2 linked regions of the Lytechinus pictus genome follow. The protein of the gene in region 1 binds, or shares a complex with, the protein of each later gene. Links are inferred from orthologs where the notes say so. Each region holds a gene or a part of one and is shown on either strand. Other genes may lie near its edges.

What was found.
Region 2: protein bicaudal D homolog 1-like (region 1) and lissencephaly-1 homolog share a complex: the UniProt entries of both Caenorhabditis elegans proteins name them as parts of the dynein-regulating complex. The link is inferred for Lytechinus pictus from reciprocal best matches to the Caenorhabditis elegans genes bicd-1 and lis-1.

What each region holds. Positions count from the first base shown.
Region 1 is NC_087247.1:56,905,158-56,913,139, reverse strand, and holds the start of protein bicaudal D homolog 1-like, read right to left. Parts: upstream 3,539-7,982; coding exon 3,308-3,538; intron 1-3,307. UniProt on the Caenorhabditis elegans protein: Part of a complex with dlc-1 and egal-1, which is recruited to the nuclear envelope by unc-83, where in turn, it recruits dynein to the nuclear surface and regulates nuclear migration in hypodermal precursor cells.
Region 2 is NC_087246.1:17,018,841-17,027,203, forward strand, and holds the start of lissencephaly-1 homolog, read right to left. Parts: upstream 3,423-8,363; 5' UTR 3,278-3,422; exon of another isoform or gene 2,775-3,277; intron 1-2,774. Other genes in the region: RNA N6-adenosine-methyltransferase mettl16-like, read left to right, coding at 3,564-3,571, 5,424-5,779, 6,737-6,877, 7,634-7,901. UniProt on the Caenorhabditis elegans protein: Positively regulates the activity of the minus-end directed microtubule motor protein dynein. May enhance dynein-mediated microtubule sliding by targeting dynein to the microtubule plus end.

The DNA of each region.
Region 1 (7,982 bases):
TTGTTCAACAGAAAGTTGTATTCGTGCTAGTCTTGTGTGAAGTCTCACTTGTGGATCAACGTTTCAATAAGGGTCTGTGCATGCAGACTACATGTAGGGGGCAATGTTCTCTTAATAACATGCTATTATATAATGGCAGGTTCTCACATAAAAAACAATAACATTTAAAGACAAATGAAAAAAAAGTGTAATGCAAAGTATTATTTTTTTCATGTTGAATTGAAAAGCTTCATTTTGTACATAATGCTCCATCATGTTACTACATATACCGGGTACATGTACTATAATGTATTTATGTACAGTTTGATGAATATTTTATACCCTAGGCAATTTAAAAAATGAAGAATAGTAAAAATACAAATGGAAAATATGATATTTTAGGATATCAATTTATAATTTTGCATTTAAAAAGAGAATTTATCACTTTTTGTGAAAAAATGAAAATTCCTGAAAATTCCCGAAACTTTAAATGGAAATTTTCCAAAATTTCCGGAAAGTTTCCAGTCCTTTGCAACCCTATTCACCTCCCTGTTTTATCCGAACTTATATACATAAACATATGGCCATTGAGTCCCCTGTACAGATCGCGCTAGAACTTCGGTCTCTGTATTTGGTGAGTGAAGCCAACGGAGTTCAGCTGAACAACCAACATAACAGAGACCGAAGCTTTTGGTCTAATTTCTTCATTGCCATGTATATTTCAGTTATTAATGAGTTCATTCTCACCAAATTTAGACTCCCCCATAGAGAAATGCGATTTTCGTGGAGATCTGCATTTTCAAAGAACTTCAGGAAAAGTTAGGGTATGTGGGCCTTTATTACATGGCCGAGTACAGGTTATTGTACTGGAATAGATGGAGTAGAAATTAGATATTGAATTCATTTATATCCAAGTTCAACTCACAGTCACACCCACATCCAAGATTCTAAGCATGAAAAAACTAACTTAAAAAGTCATACAATATTAAAACTCATTAATAAGTGAACTGTCAAAAAACCTGGACTCACAATGCAGACTTCATGTTACCGCGTTCGCACTCATTTTTTCCCCTGAAAATTTTGCGCGATCTTTTCTTTAACACTACAACGCATTTGATTGGATTAAATACAGTACGGTAGATGCAGAGTGGGACATGTGGGAGGAGCTACATGTAGCCTGGAGGCGTCTGGGGAGTAAAAGTCATCTACTCTACGTAGGCTTACTCCCCACTTACGCCTGGGACGCCAAGGTATATTCACGCAAGTACGGCCACAAAACCTGAAACTTTCGCCCCCGAGATTTCTACTTTCCCTCTAAAAGATCTAGCCCTAAAACATGTACATGGAGTTCAACATTTCTGCGATATCGATTTTGGTTTTAAAGAAGAATTCAATAAAAAAACAAGAAAAATGTTATGAAAAGATGGGAAGAGCTTACGGCCGTCTTTAGGTCGCCATCTTGATTTCTTTGTCTTCCGCTTGGCGACAGCACGCAAATTGCGCTGTCGCCAAGCGGAAGACAAAGAAATCAAGATGGCGACGTAAACACGGCCGTCAGCACTTCCCATCTTTTCATAACATTTTTCTCGTTTTTTTATTGAATTCTTCTTTAAAAACAAAATCGATATCACAGAAATGTTGGAAATGAAGTTGAACCCCATGTATAGTCACGTATAGACAGGAATAACCGTCGTTTCTGGGGATTTATTCAACAATTTCTGACATTTTACTATAATCCCCATTTGTGAGTGAGCCAACGCAGTTCAGCGGAACAACCAAAATACAGAGACTGAAGCTTTTGGTCTAAGTCACGTATTGTATTACCGGACACTATTATGTTACCGGACGCGCGTATCACTGCGTTCTAAAACAAATTCGTACCGTAAGACTTCCGCAATTCAATTTCACAGAGCAATACATAGAACAAGATTGCAAAAACAAGGCGAAAAATCAAACTTTTACCTAATTATCTCTAAAAATTACAGAAAATGCTTAAAATATCATATAACATAGTTTTGTATTAACAATTGATATATTTTCTAACGGAAATATGGTCCTGATTTGCCGAATTTCAATCTCGTCCACTCCTTCGATCGAATGATGAGGTGTGGTGTATTGTGGGTGATCGTCGACGGCTAGTTCTCAAGGTACCCGTGCGCGAGGTTTACCGTGAGTAGAGCCGTCGATTGGCAGCGCATCGATAGAACTTGATGAGCGTCACGATACGAACGCGAGCATATTATTATTGGAAAGTGCCATGGAACATGCAGCTAACAAGACAAAATAAAATAAGTTATCAAACACGAATTTATTACCAACATCTGCTCAGATTCGATATAAAAAAAGCAAATAATACTTAGAATTTACTCATGATATGATATAAGAAAAAAATCACAAAAATTTGTTCTTACATCATTATAATCAAGGATATCTTTACCCGTCCGGCGCGCGTCCGGAATCATGATGTAATTTGTCGCGCACAAAAATAATTGTTTTTTGTGGAGGGGTATGCGACAAGTGCGATGCAAAGAAAACGGTTGGTAAATATAAAATAATTTTATCATATTCATAATTTTCATATTTGGAATAGCAAGTGTGAATTTTTCTTGATTGTATTTCCTCTAGTTGTCATTTTTAAAGCACTGAAATAAAGGTGTCCGGCAATGCCAATAGCCTAGGATACACTGCCATACATGTTTTACTTAGGGCTAGATCTTTTTTTTTTTAGAGGGAAAGTAGAAATCTCGGGAGCCAAAGTTTCAGGTTTTGTGGCCGTACGTGCGTGAATATACCTTGGCGTCCCAGGCGTCAGTGGGGAGTAAGCCTACGGCTACGTAGAGTAGATGACTTATACTTCCCCAGACGCCTCCAGGCTAGGACTCTACTAGGACTCGGAGTAGGAGCAAGGAGCTGAAGATAACACGAAATGATGATAACAACATGGTTATCAGAATACCGATTTGGGGGTATGTTAGGGGCGTGTTAAATCAGAGACATAACAACGATATTTAACACCAAAGTTAACACGATTTTCAGAATACCGCCCCACTACTAGTAGTAGGATGGGGGATCGGGTGTCCGGACACTTTATATTTTTGAAGCCTTCTTTTTTGTCATTGGATTACACTACAAATACGAAATCAATAGTTGTAATCATCTTCTATTTTGTTCTCTATAATATTTCCTGACATTTTGTACTAAAAATTGATAAAACTTTCCTTGTAAATTTTTCCAAATGACTTTCTAAAATTGATCGTCCGGACACACAACCTGTCCGGACACACAACAACTGGGTATACACTACTAGTACTACTAGGCCAGGGCCTACCTCTTTTGCCATCTGAAGCTCCTGTTTACAAGTTTCATAGAGTAAATCAAGGTCTTCATATTGCTGCTTTATTGCCTGCTTTTCTTCAAGAACAACTAAACCGTATTCAGCAGCCTGTATTTTCTCTCTGCTGGCCAAAGCGAGTTCCTCTTTCAAACGGCTGATTTCAACCCGTAACTCTTCGATGGTTTCCGAACCATCGTCCGAGTCGAACATGGCGAATGACTGCATTTTCAACAGCAAGTGATACCGGTAATGTTGGACTTGGAGCCGGCTAGACTCGGGTGGCCTGCACTCCTTGGCTCTGTGGTGACAATACCACTCGAGTTTCACAGTCGATCCACAAGGTTAATGACGAATCCAGCGTCCTGGACTTCACCCGTTTTCATCCTTGAATTTTGGAGATCATTGTGCTTCTTATAAAAAACAACACCGATGCTGAAAAGGTGAAATTTGAAGGTTTCTTAGTCCTGGGTCTATGGTACAATCGCAGACTCGCGACAATGCAACATACGGGAATGTAGTGAACGTTTCCTACGCGCGCGCATTATGCATTTGATTTATAGCGCAATATGCGCTAGCGCCAGGAAACTCTGCATGAGTCGGTTTTGTATTAGCAAAGATCGGGGGCGTATCCGCCCAGAGATTCCGAACTAGCTCAAAACCACATCTCTATGCTCAAAACTGAGCAAGCGCATCGCATCCGTACGTTTTCTCTCTGGTCATCGATATCGTATCTGTACGGTATGCCGTATACACGGTATCTGGAGCTGGAGTTCACCCCGCGTGCGTCTGCGCCATGGGCCATAGGTTTGCGCATGCATATAAGTGGGCGTGGGCGTGTCCTTAAAAGCCGTAAGTGGTACAATTTTAACGTTAGATATCTACTTTTTATGAAAAATAAATTAATGAGGAATAAAACAAAAATATGATGGGGCAAACCCCTCAAAGCAGCGTCCTTATTCGATAGCTCCTCTGAGATTGAATGTTCGAACAGTTTTTCCTCTCTACTTGAGGACAAGTCTCCCTTCTTCGCACCAATTGCTATATGTCCTCACCAACGAGTACGAGTGGTGACAAACCTTCACCTTCTCGTAAGAAGTCCCCGCAATCTGGTAATAGGAAACTGAGAGCTGTAGTCATCAATTTCCAAGGTCTCAGAAGCAAAGTCGAACCCCTATCCAATCTTATAAATTCTGTTCATCCAGATATAATATTTGGAACTGAAACTTGGGGAAATGATACTATTTCTAACTCTGAGCTTTTTCTAACACATCTTGATACGTATGGCGGAAAGACCGCAATGATGGTCATGGAGGTGTCCTCATTGCAGTTAGGAAAACGCTGCTCGCAGTAGCTCTTCCTGAATATGACGCTGATTGCGAAGTACTTTTGGACTAAGCTGAGGTCCCATGGCCAGAAAGATGTATATCTCGGAGTGTTTTACAACCCCATTATATAATGATCCTAATATGGCCTCCCTGGGCTTGAAGTTTCCTTGGGTAAACTTCCTCCTGATGCTTACAAGGTACTTGCTGGTGATTTTAACATGCCGGACATTGATTGGGACTCTGATTCAGTCAAGCCTTGCCCTGCAAGAGTCTACAAAAGTAGTACCCAACCATGCACCCTTCTTCTTGATATTGCTAGCCACCATAATCTCCAACAGGTCGTGAACTTCCCAACGAGACAACAGCATATGCTAGATCTTTTATTTACTACTAATCCTACATTGATTGACTCTGTTAAGCCGATTCCAGGGATCAGCGATCATGATTCTGTTGTTCAGATTGACTTCACTGGTACTGTCAAACATCAAAAAAGTAAAGCTCACAGAGTCTACAATTATAAGAAGGCAAACTTTGATAAGATCAGAACTGAGCTTTAGTCCTTTTCTGAAGAATTCTTCATCAACAGTCCTGGTACCAAGTCTGTCAATTTGAACTGGGAATCATTGACATGTAAATTGACATACCTAAAAGAGAAGTATATCCCTAGTAAGATGAGCAGTACTAGATTCAACCTGCCTTACATCACTAGGGAAATTAAGAGCAAGATCAGACAGAAGCATCGTGTATATAACCGTGCTCTCAAAAGTCAATCTCAGGAAGATTCCCAGTGAGCAAAATATATGGGGCCCATATGGGTTACTTGTGGGCTTATCAGGGCTAAAAATGTGGGCCCCATATGGGTTGCCAATGTGGGCTATGTATGGGCCCATCTGGGCCCCTTGTGTTTTTTGCACCGTACACCCCGTCTGGGGCCCATATGGGCCAGGGTTTCGCGTGGGGTAAATATGGGCAGGCCCACATCGTACCCATGTAAACCATATGGGGCCCATTTGGGCTATGTATGGCCCCACTTGGCCAATCTGGGACCCATATGTACACCCTATGTGGGGCCCATTTGGGCCAAGTGGGTTTAGTGTGGGTTGAATATGGGCAGGCCCACATTGCTCCCATATGGGCCCCATATGGATTTCCCATGTGGGCTATGTATGGCCCCACTTGGCCCATCTGGGACCCATGTGTTTTTTGCACCGTACACCCCGTCTGGGGCCCATATGGGCCAGGGTTTCGCGTGGGGTAAATATGGGCAGGCCCACATCGTACCCATGTAAACCATATGGGACCCATTTGGGCTATGTATGGCCCCACTTGGCCAATCTGGGACCCATATGTACACCCTATGTGGGGCCCATTTGGGCCAAGTGGGTTTAGTGTGGGTTGAATATGGGCAGGCCCACATTGCTCCCATATGGGCCCCATATGAAAACAATACTGTGTTTTTATATGGGTCCCATGTGGGCCATGTGGGTCCACGATGTTTTAATCAATTAAAAAAAATATATTAATTTGTATCATTAAGGTGACTTTCTATACAACCCAATACTCTAATCCTTATCATTTTATCATATCCTATAATCCTACATTCTAACCCTAAATCCTAATCCTATCCTATCCTACACCTAACCACTGAATCTTGTTATTGACTTCTATATATAGAGCGAGTTTGCTATACTTGACAGGCTATGGTTAATAACAATTTTCAATATTTAACCTTGAAAATTTTCTCCTGAAATTAAATGTTTTGATTTTTAATTTCATGGTAATAAATTACATACTTTTCTGAAACTTTTCATGGTGGAATCCTTGCTTAAACATAAACATATTAATTGTTGTAGCCGTATTAGCTAAAATTTTGATCATTTACTGTTGTAATGAATATTCATGAGTGCAGTCCAGATCGATCATCCAGAGATATTGAGCTCAGATGTGACCCATCTGGGTCCCAGAAGGCTTATCTGGTACATATGGGCCCAGATATAACCCAGATGGGTCCCACATATTTTAGCCCATCTGGGTCCCACTTGGAAATGCCCATCTCCAGCCCAGATGATATTCATCTGGTACATATGGGCCCAGATATAACCCAGATGGGCCCCATGTGGACCTACCCACTTCTAGCCCATATGGTTTCCATATGGGCCATATGGGTCCCAGATAACCCACATTGGACCCATATGGGTCCCAGATATTTTGCTATCTGGGCGTGTTCTCCTTTGAAAATTCAAAATTTTTCTTTATTTTAAGATGCACGATTAGAACCTAACCTGTGAATTGTAAGATCACAAACATTTTTTTTTATCCGTAAGCTATTTATCATCAATCGAATTAGCCGTATACATAGGCCCGGTACATAGGGTACCCGATAAATCCCTAAAATCAACACTAAACATGTGATTTCTAGAAAAGGCAGGCATTCCAAAGCGAACTTTTATGGGGTTGAGTTCTCATCATAAGTGTATCAAAAAATGTGAAAATGAAGAAAATCTTTTTTTTTCTTCTTCTTTCCCCCCCCCCCTTTTTTTACCCCTTCGAGATTTACCAACAATGTGAAATATACCTTGATTACTATCTATGTCGAGCTTTAAAATACATGATCGGATTTTAGTGTCAAGTAACAAATGCAAAGGCTAAGCCTAACCTACTAATTAACATTTATCAATCAAACATGAAAATAAAGAACGGATTTTGTCAAAAGCTAGAAATATCTATGAAAGATATAGGTTATTCTCATATTTGGGAAAACCTAAATGACCTAAACGACATCAAGTTAAATCAGTGGGTACAGTTTCAGGAAGATAGATACTGGAAGAGAATTATTGTAGTAAACTGAGAACGTATATAAAGACCTTAAACGTAGGCCCTACATAGAGAAATATTTATAACTAGACATTGATAATCTATAAGTTAGGAATTATTTGAAGATAAGAATTAGCAATTGTAAATTTATGAATGAACAAGGGCGACAAAAACAACTAGAAATCAATCAACGTACTCGCGCCCATCCTTAACCCGCAACAAGAAAAATTATGATAATAGGCCTATACCATAGTGCCGTCATTTAGAGAACTGAGCGAATCAGGTTACTTCTTGTACATCATGCAAATAAAAGTAATGATTACGATATAAGTAAAATTAATGTAACTAAATAATATGAGTAATTATAATGACGGACTATGATACACTCGTGTTAATAGATGACGCCATGGACGTGTTGTAATGACTTAATTGTAATATCTTGAAATCAGTAAGAGTTTGGCAAAATGTTTAATAATGTATTTTCTTTTCGAATGAACACATATTTTGGCGATTGCTTATATTTACTTGTA
Region 2 (8,363 bases), on another chromosome or scaffold:
CTTACTTCTACATGTATATCTCGCTTCAGCAGTTTTGAATACACAGTCTATTATGTAACAATGGTGCTTTTCAGCCCATTCCAAGTTCGCATACATACAGCACTGCTACCACTGCTGGTTCTGCACTGCCTAGCATATCAACCCCCTTTGATCATTCAGAATCTGATCAGGGAATTCCCTGAGCTGACCAGGAAATCTCCATGATCTAGCCAGGCTCATCAAATTACAACCTTGTGCAGGTTAAGAAGGGCGACAAGAGTACTTGACAATTAATTGTGTTTGATAATGTATTTCATGCCTAATTCCAACAATAATGCATTCTTGATTTAATTCTTTTTTATCATTAAAACAATGAATTCACTGTACCTTTTTGAATTAAAAAAAAAAATATTTTCACAAGTAATGTTCGCTTTCACAAGGTGTGATACACTTGTGGTTTGCTCTTCATCATAGTTCAGCTTATTGTAATTATCCGTCATTCATATCCATCCATGATTATCCAATATTCACAATTTCCTTCAAGTTGGTGCACTGATCGCCTATCAATCATAAAAACTTCTTTTTTGATGGTTATTACCCTTCTGCACATGCTCAAGTTTATGATTTGATGAGCCAGGATTGATCAGGAAAATGTCCCTGCTCAAATCCTGGATAGTATTTAAGTGGAGGTTAACATGTTAAAGACAATGCAGAAATACAGCAGTGTTGCAAACTTGGAATGGCCTGAAATGCACTACTGTTGTGTAACAGTGTATGTATTCAAAACCGCTGAAGCGAGACCAATGACATTTTCAAGAAGTTAGATTATGAAATAAGCTTTCTACTCATGTACCTTTGATTAAAAATACTACATTTTGGAATTACTTCAGCCCTATGTCAGAGGGACATTTTTTGGGGGGACGTGCTGTACTTAAATCTGTGATCATGCTACAAGGGACAGTGATTTTTTGAAAATTGCCTTTTGAAACGGAAAGTGGCTTTTCAAATTGAAAATCACAGAAAACATATCTTTACTCAAAATGCATAGAACAGCAACAGAAATTACTCCAAAATCTCAACAAAATACAAATACTAACTGGCCACAAAACACGATCTCACTTCGCTACAATCATGACAATCCACACATCGTGACTGCACTTGACTCCATCACTTGATCATACATCAAAAATACATTGTACAAGCGGGTCAAACGCAAGCCCAAGCTGAAATAAGCGACCAAACATTGTTTGATTATAACCAACGTACGTAGTAGGCAGCAACACACGTTCGTGTTGCTACCCTCTAGTTCGGTGATGTAACAGCACGAACGTGGTACTCCTCAAATACAAAATGGCAGATAGGCAATAGTCGTCGACTGCTCAAAACGATGTCCAAAAATCCCCACATTATCAATAAAATTTCATTCAACCCTTAAATAATGCTAATAATGTGAAAGGTTAGGATGTATTCATATTAAATGTGTTTCTTAAAATTGTTTTGTGTTTGTATAGATCAGATTAGAGTGGATTCCAAAGCGTTGTTAGTGGCGGATACAAATTCTGACCAGCCCGAGTACTGTGACATTGCTACTCCAACGGAATTTCCATTTTTCAAACATGCTGAAACGGATTTTAAGATTTTCTGAAAAGGAAAAGGCAATTTTTTTACACAGAAATCACTTTCCCTAGATGCTACTTATTATTTATAATCACGTATTAAATTTTAGTATTTGTGAAATAATAATTTTTATCTATAAATTGTTCTTCAAGACGGCATCGCTAGTCGGAAGTACGTCATCACGAAGCGGTTCAAGGGTCAAGTCTATTGTCTTTGCTTTGTTGACAAACGGATCGAGGGATCCACGGGAGATCGGGTCTGGTAAGAAACATCTCATTTTTACCATTTATAGTGAAATAATTTTTATCCCTTTATACGCATTAGGCGCCTGAAGGTTCATAAATAAAATTGGACAATACAAACCGATTTCACCCTCTAACTATGGATTTCCTTGGGAAATCCATCTTTGTGTACATGTGTCTCTTATATGGATGGGGATTCAAGACTCCATGATGAATATGTCAAAATATTTAAAAAAAACATCATCATGGAGTCCTCAAGACTAGACTAGATCTAGCTAGCAGGCCTGGCCCATTTAGTCATTGGACCTTAACCCTTCTGTACTGTAAACGCTCTTATTTTCGCGAATTAATTTTTCACGCTTGGCGGCTTCAAAAAATATTCGCAAGTTCTTGAATTTGCGCTGCACTCTCCATAATCCAAAGTCACTTCCTTCTTCCCCATCTGTAAATGGTTTTAATTAACATTTCAGCGACGAAATTGTATATTCTGATCATAATTCTAGCTCTAAAGCGGCGTAATTCAGCATTGTTTTGATCCAATCATGAGCTTTTGTGACATTTAGCGCAACATTTCTTTGCAGGGTGGACTCGGGGAAGGCAAAACGGAGGCACTGCTGGCCTGGTATGGACGGCCGAGCACCTATAATATAAAGGACCAGGGGGATTACGGCTATTCAAAGTGCATGGGTTCAATCAACAAACCTGGGTGATCGACCCAACGTCTTCTTAAAAACTAAACAGATCTTAACACTCACCAATCTCGCACAGCAAAAGCAATTTATATTTCAACCAAATTCCAAAATCATAATTTAAATACTGATCTGCGACTATTGAAAAAATTATCTCAATGCTTTGGAACAAATTCTCGCAATGGCGTGCATGTCTTTTTATTTGTGATCGATTTTGGAGCTCAAGCTTACTTGCTTAAATGTCGCCCTCTATACAAGATCTAACAAGTTATAGGGCCTAGGTCAAAATCAAATTGTGCAATCTCTTTGCCAAAACGATACACACAATTGAACCGCGGTTCAAAACTTGCATTAAAATAGATTAGATGCTCATAAATTCGTGCTCGCCGATCTTCATCTTGCCGCAAAAATTTCCACTTTTAGTTTTACAGTAGTTGTAAAGAACTGCAGAAGCTACCACTTCCATGACTGCACTGCTACTGGGCCTGGCTTGCAATGTTGCGCTCCCTTCTAACTCTGTCTCTGCACTCACTCACGTCACTCTCACTCAACTCAGCTCATGCACTGCACTGCATGCATTGGCCAGAATATGCACAACAAATGTCAACGCCTACGGAATGGGAATGCACATTTGCCCAGCACTAACGTTACACCTTCTCCTTCACACATATCCTAGCACACAACCAAATTGCGAACTATTTAGATGTAGAATCGAATTCTATAGATTTCCAATGAAAATAGAACGCTCACCGAAAAATAAAGAACTTAACAACCAAACATCAAGTATATAAACCGGTATTCGTCCGTTGGTTCGAAGTATTTTTCTCGCAACGCATATTGTTGCTGTATTTCCGACTCACATATATTTGCTACACGTTGAAAAATTACCCAGAATCCCTTTCGATACTTGTCTGCAATATCATGCGCAGAAAACTTGTGCGCAGTTTCTAAGTCTCTTCGTCGTCTGCAGCAGCAACTACTCGGAAATCAACAGTAATTTGGGCTGTTTCTTATTGCATTTTTATTGATCTATAGAATGATATTGTATTAATACCATTATTTTTCAGTATTACTTAAGCTGTCTCATTATTCAAAGCACTATCAGGTATCGTCTAAACGTGTATATTACCGATAATTTGCGTGTTCTTGTATTTTGAAGTGACCGGTTATTACTGCTAAATTTGAGGACGTTTATTTACCTTGGACATGAATGCCGATTTTTAGCCAGCCACGGGCACGGCGGCGCGGCCGCGGTATTGATAAGATATGCATGTGCACCCGCTATGGCCTTAGACCAAAAGCTTCGGTCTCTGTTATGTTGGTTGTTCAGCTGAACTCCGTTGGCTTCACTAAAAAGCTTCGGTCTCTGTTATGTTGGTTGTTCAGCTGAACTCCGTTGGCTTCACTACCCAGGGGGGCCACTTCCATTCACGAGTGGATACCATGCGCGACCATGGGGTCTCAAAAAGCACCCTAAACACGTAATTTCCATAATCTGAAAATGCACCCCTTAACAAGTATTGGCGTGTGAAACCCTACCCTTAACAAGTATTGGAAACAAAACGAGATCATGGCAAATATTCCCTGAAATGAACCCCTAAACAAGTACAGGAATGTTTTATTGTTACGGGTCCTTCGGTCGTCAGCTTTACCTCATTTGGTTTAGTACGACCCCACCTTCTACACCTCGCGCAAATCGGACTCTAAACACGAAGTGTTGGGGCCAAAAGGACATCCTTTATAAAACATTTTAATTTTGTTTTATCATCCCCGCAAATTCGACCCTAAACACGTAATTGTCCTAGCGAAATAGATACCCTTTTTTCATTATTATTGCGTTTTTGACACCCTTATCACGTTACGTACGTAACGTGCCCTATCGTGAAAAAGACATCCTTTTTACGTGTTTTTTTGGTCGCGCATGGTATCCACTCGTCAATGTAAGTGGCCCCCCCGGGCTTCACTAACCAAATACAGAGACCGAAGTTCTAGCGCGATCTGTACAGGGGACTCAATGGCCATATGTTTATGTACTTAAGATCGGATAAAACGGGGAAGTGAATTTGCGCGACAGCCGAGGTAAGTCACTGTTTTTGTTCCTTTTAACTTGATTTTTCTCAGTTTTTTGGCAATTGATGCCAAGAGGGAATATTAATTTGCATTTTGGTCGCGTGAATTTTCAAAATTTTTACTCATTAAAGACAAAAATTGAAGAGCCCCGACGGGGGGATTTTGCATTGCAAGTCCCCTAATGGTGGCTGCACGCTAGCGAGCCGTCTGTGTATGAGGAGAAAAAAAAAAAAAAAAAAATGTTAAAAAACTCCTCGAAACAGACGGCTGCCAGCTGTCTACTATGGCCTATGCCTAGTATTATGCACTGAAATGATACATGCAATGCATAGCCATAGATCTGACTAGTAACTAGGCCTTTATCATGTGAAGCATGCCTAAAAATTAACTGTGTGTGTGGGCTGGATTTATAAAAATAGCTTTATCGCCAAAATGGTGACATTATTAGCCTAACTAACTTAAATCAACAATAGATGCTTGGAATGGGCTGAAAATTTCAGAATAAATGTTTGTAGTCTATTCCAAACTATAAATTTGTAAGATAAGTGATGTTATTTTTAAACAAACAAAAATTTTCACAAAGAATCAGCCACTTTTTTTAGAAAAAAAAGTGTCGGTTAAATTCAAAACACTTTTTTAAAGATTAAAAAAAATGTTGGATAATACTGGATTATAATTCAAGATATTTAGGTCTACCCCACCAAACTAAAAGCGTAACACAGTTTTTTTTTCAAAATGCATTTTAAAGCATGTTTTTTTTATTATTACAGTACCAACTCAACTCTGATACCTGTTATCGTGTGTTTCCTTTATTTATTTTTTTTAGATCTAGATCTAGACATCTAACGTTAGGCATAATGGCCTTCAACAAATTCATGCACCCTCGCAACCGCTATAGGGACAACAAACCAAACTTTGATGAATTAGCAAAGAAATATCCAGAGTTTGCACGTCATGTGATCAGGAACCAAACAGGCAAGGCGACCCTTGACTTCCATGATTCTGAGTCGCTGAGGTCACTAACCTGCACGCTCCTGAAGGAAGACTTTGGACTAGAGGTTGAGCTACCTCTTGATCGTCTCATCCCGACCCTGTCACTACGGCTCAACTACATTCACTGGATAGAGGATCTCTTAGCATCGACTGGCCACAGCAAAGGGACGGTGTGGGGCATTGACATTGGTGAGAATCTTCTCAAACTTTTATTTCGCTATGAATAATCAGGTGATAGTCATCTCACCCACATTTTCGCTTGCCATTCCAAAGACTCACTGGCGATCACTTATTTACTGTAACCGCATCTAAAGAATAGAAGAACATCCCCTCTTTCGTCAAATCAATGAACTTTACAGATCACTCGAAGAAAGTCCTAAAAACATTTCCTGATTTCCTGTATTTTCTTTATTTCTTCTTTATAATTAAAATTTGGTTGCCCTTTGCTTTGTAAATGCTGTTATATAATGCAGTATGGATAAAATTACTACTACTACTAAAATGCTACTTGCTAGTTATTATGGAGTGATGTACAATGTTATAAAAGAAATTCGACAAACAACTTATGATCTCCAGGAGCAATTGCAAGCCATTTAAATTTAAGTTGATCACAATTTGGCCACTGGCTAAAACAAACCCATTTGATATAGGTCTTATACAAAATGGTTGATCCACCTGTACCTGACTGTCTGATGCTGTTAAATTTTATTGCTTGAATTTATCTGCCCACAATGTTACATCGTTGTGTTATGTACAGACACTTTGTTCTGTATGGTTATGAATTGGTCTGATGCAGTTGTACAGCGTAAAAACAATTATTATCAAAGCTTGCATCTTAGATTAGATTGACCAATGCTTCTGCATTTTCTTCTGTAAAATGAATTTATTTTAATCAGTTCACACTCTGAATTTACAACGTGAAGAAAACAATAAAATCACTTCAAAAATGGAAAATTGGCAACTTTTGAAATTCTGCCATTATCACTCATTTTTCCTTGTGTTATATCTCTATTTCTTTCTTTAAAAAGTATAGTGAAAGAAAAATGTTGCCAATTTGAAGAGTAGAAGTAGATTAATCCTAACGTAATGAAAGCTGTATACCTCTACAGAATGCCTGATATCATTGTTTTTTTTTTAATATTCCAGGTTGTGGTGCATCGTGTATATATCCATTACTTGGTGCTCAGTTGAACGGATGGAACTTCATTGCATCAGAGGTAGATGCCTTGGCTATTCATTATTCTAAGGAGAACATCACAAGTAATGGACTTCAGGATAAAATAACAGGTAATAATAGATCATTCATTTATCCTCTGATTGTCTGTTTTTTTTTTAAGGAGATCCAACTACCTAATCAAGTCTTTACTATGAGTGGAAAGGTGTCATATGTTACTCCCCCTGAGATAAAATTGCCCATTGAACATTTTCATAGAAAGCATCTCCCTTGATGGAAACAAGTTCCCTCAGTGTCTCCCTAGAGATCACCTTACCCAAAGGGCAACAAATTTATATTTGAACACAAATTCCAAATTGCCTTGGAAGTTTTCCAAGAACCATGGCTCCCCTCCCCACCCCAATTCATCATTGGACAACATTTAAAACATACCACAGTGTTTTCATCATATAAAAGATTATAGAAATGTGACTTGTCTACCATGTGTTAGTATGGTTTCTTGGTTGCCCTGAAGATAGTCACATGTTGGATGGGAGGGGTTTCGATGTTCATTTAAGCAGATAAAACATCCTCATTGTTTCTGGGGTTTCCTTAAGATACCTGTATCAATCAGTACATATGATTATGAAGATTTTTTGACTTTGTAATGTTGTCTGACATTACTTAAATCAGTGAAGTATTGCTTGAAAAGCTCTTGAAAATGCGGTCTTATGCTGACAAGCAACTATGTATGTAAGTCCTGAATCCAAACTGTAATTACAGGTGATATTTTTAACCTGATTTTTTATCATTAAGTCTGTCAAAATGTAGTCATAGCTGATTGTCAAGATGCCACAATGTCAACTTGACTATTTCTTTTGCTTCTACAGTTGTGGAGACATGTGAAGGCAGTATGTTTGAAGATGTATTGAACAGCGCCCCCTCCAGACAGCATCTCTACCACTTCACGATGTGCAACCCACCCTTCTTTGGCAATTCTCTGGAAGCGCAAGGAATTATGACATCTCGCAGCATGAGTCGACCTGAGCCCAAGTCAGTGAGCACTGCTGCCGAACTGGAGATGATCTCGGAAGGAGGGGAGGTAGAATTTGTCCGTAGGATGATCGAAGAGAGTCTTCGTCTTAGGCATCAAGTTGTGTAAGTCACCAAGTGTGCTTTCAAATTAGAGTAAAAGGATGTGTATTAAGACTATCCCAGGAGACAAGAAAAACAATCTAATGAGCATGTCGTCTGTATGGATACATGTTGAGAATTTGAAAAATTAGTAAAGGGAAATAATATCTGTGGTCTTTATAGACAGATGGTTCTTGTTTACAGGTTTGACTGAACATGCAATTGATGCAACTGATCTAGATCTATGTCTGTCATCATTGTTGGTCATGACTGTTGATCTTGTATTTTTTTGCATTGTGCAGCAGTGTATCAGCACATCATAAAATAAAATGATACATGGTGAAAAGGGCAACTTGAGTATATTTTTTTCTAATATCCAATGTGGGACTTTTGTTATTTTTCATCATTCATATACTTATATAAATAGTTGTATTTCAAACATTACATTTTCACTTTATCTGCTGAATTCAACATGTTTTTGAGATT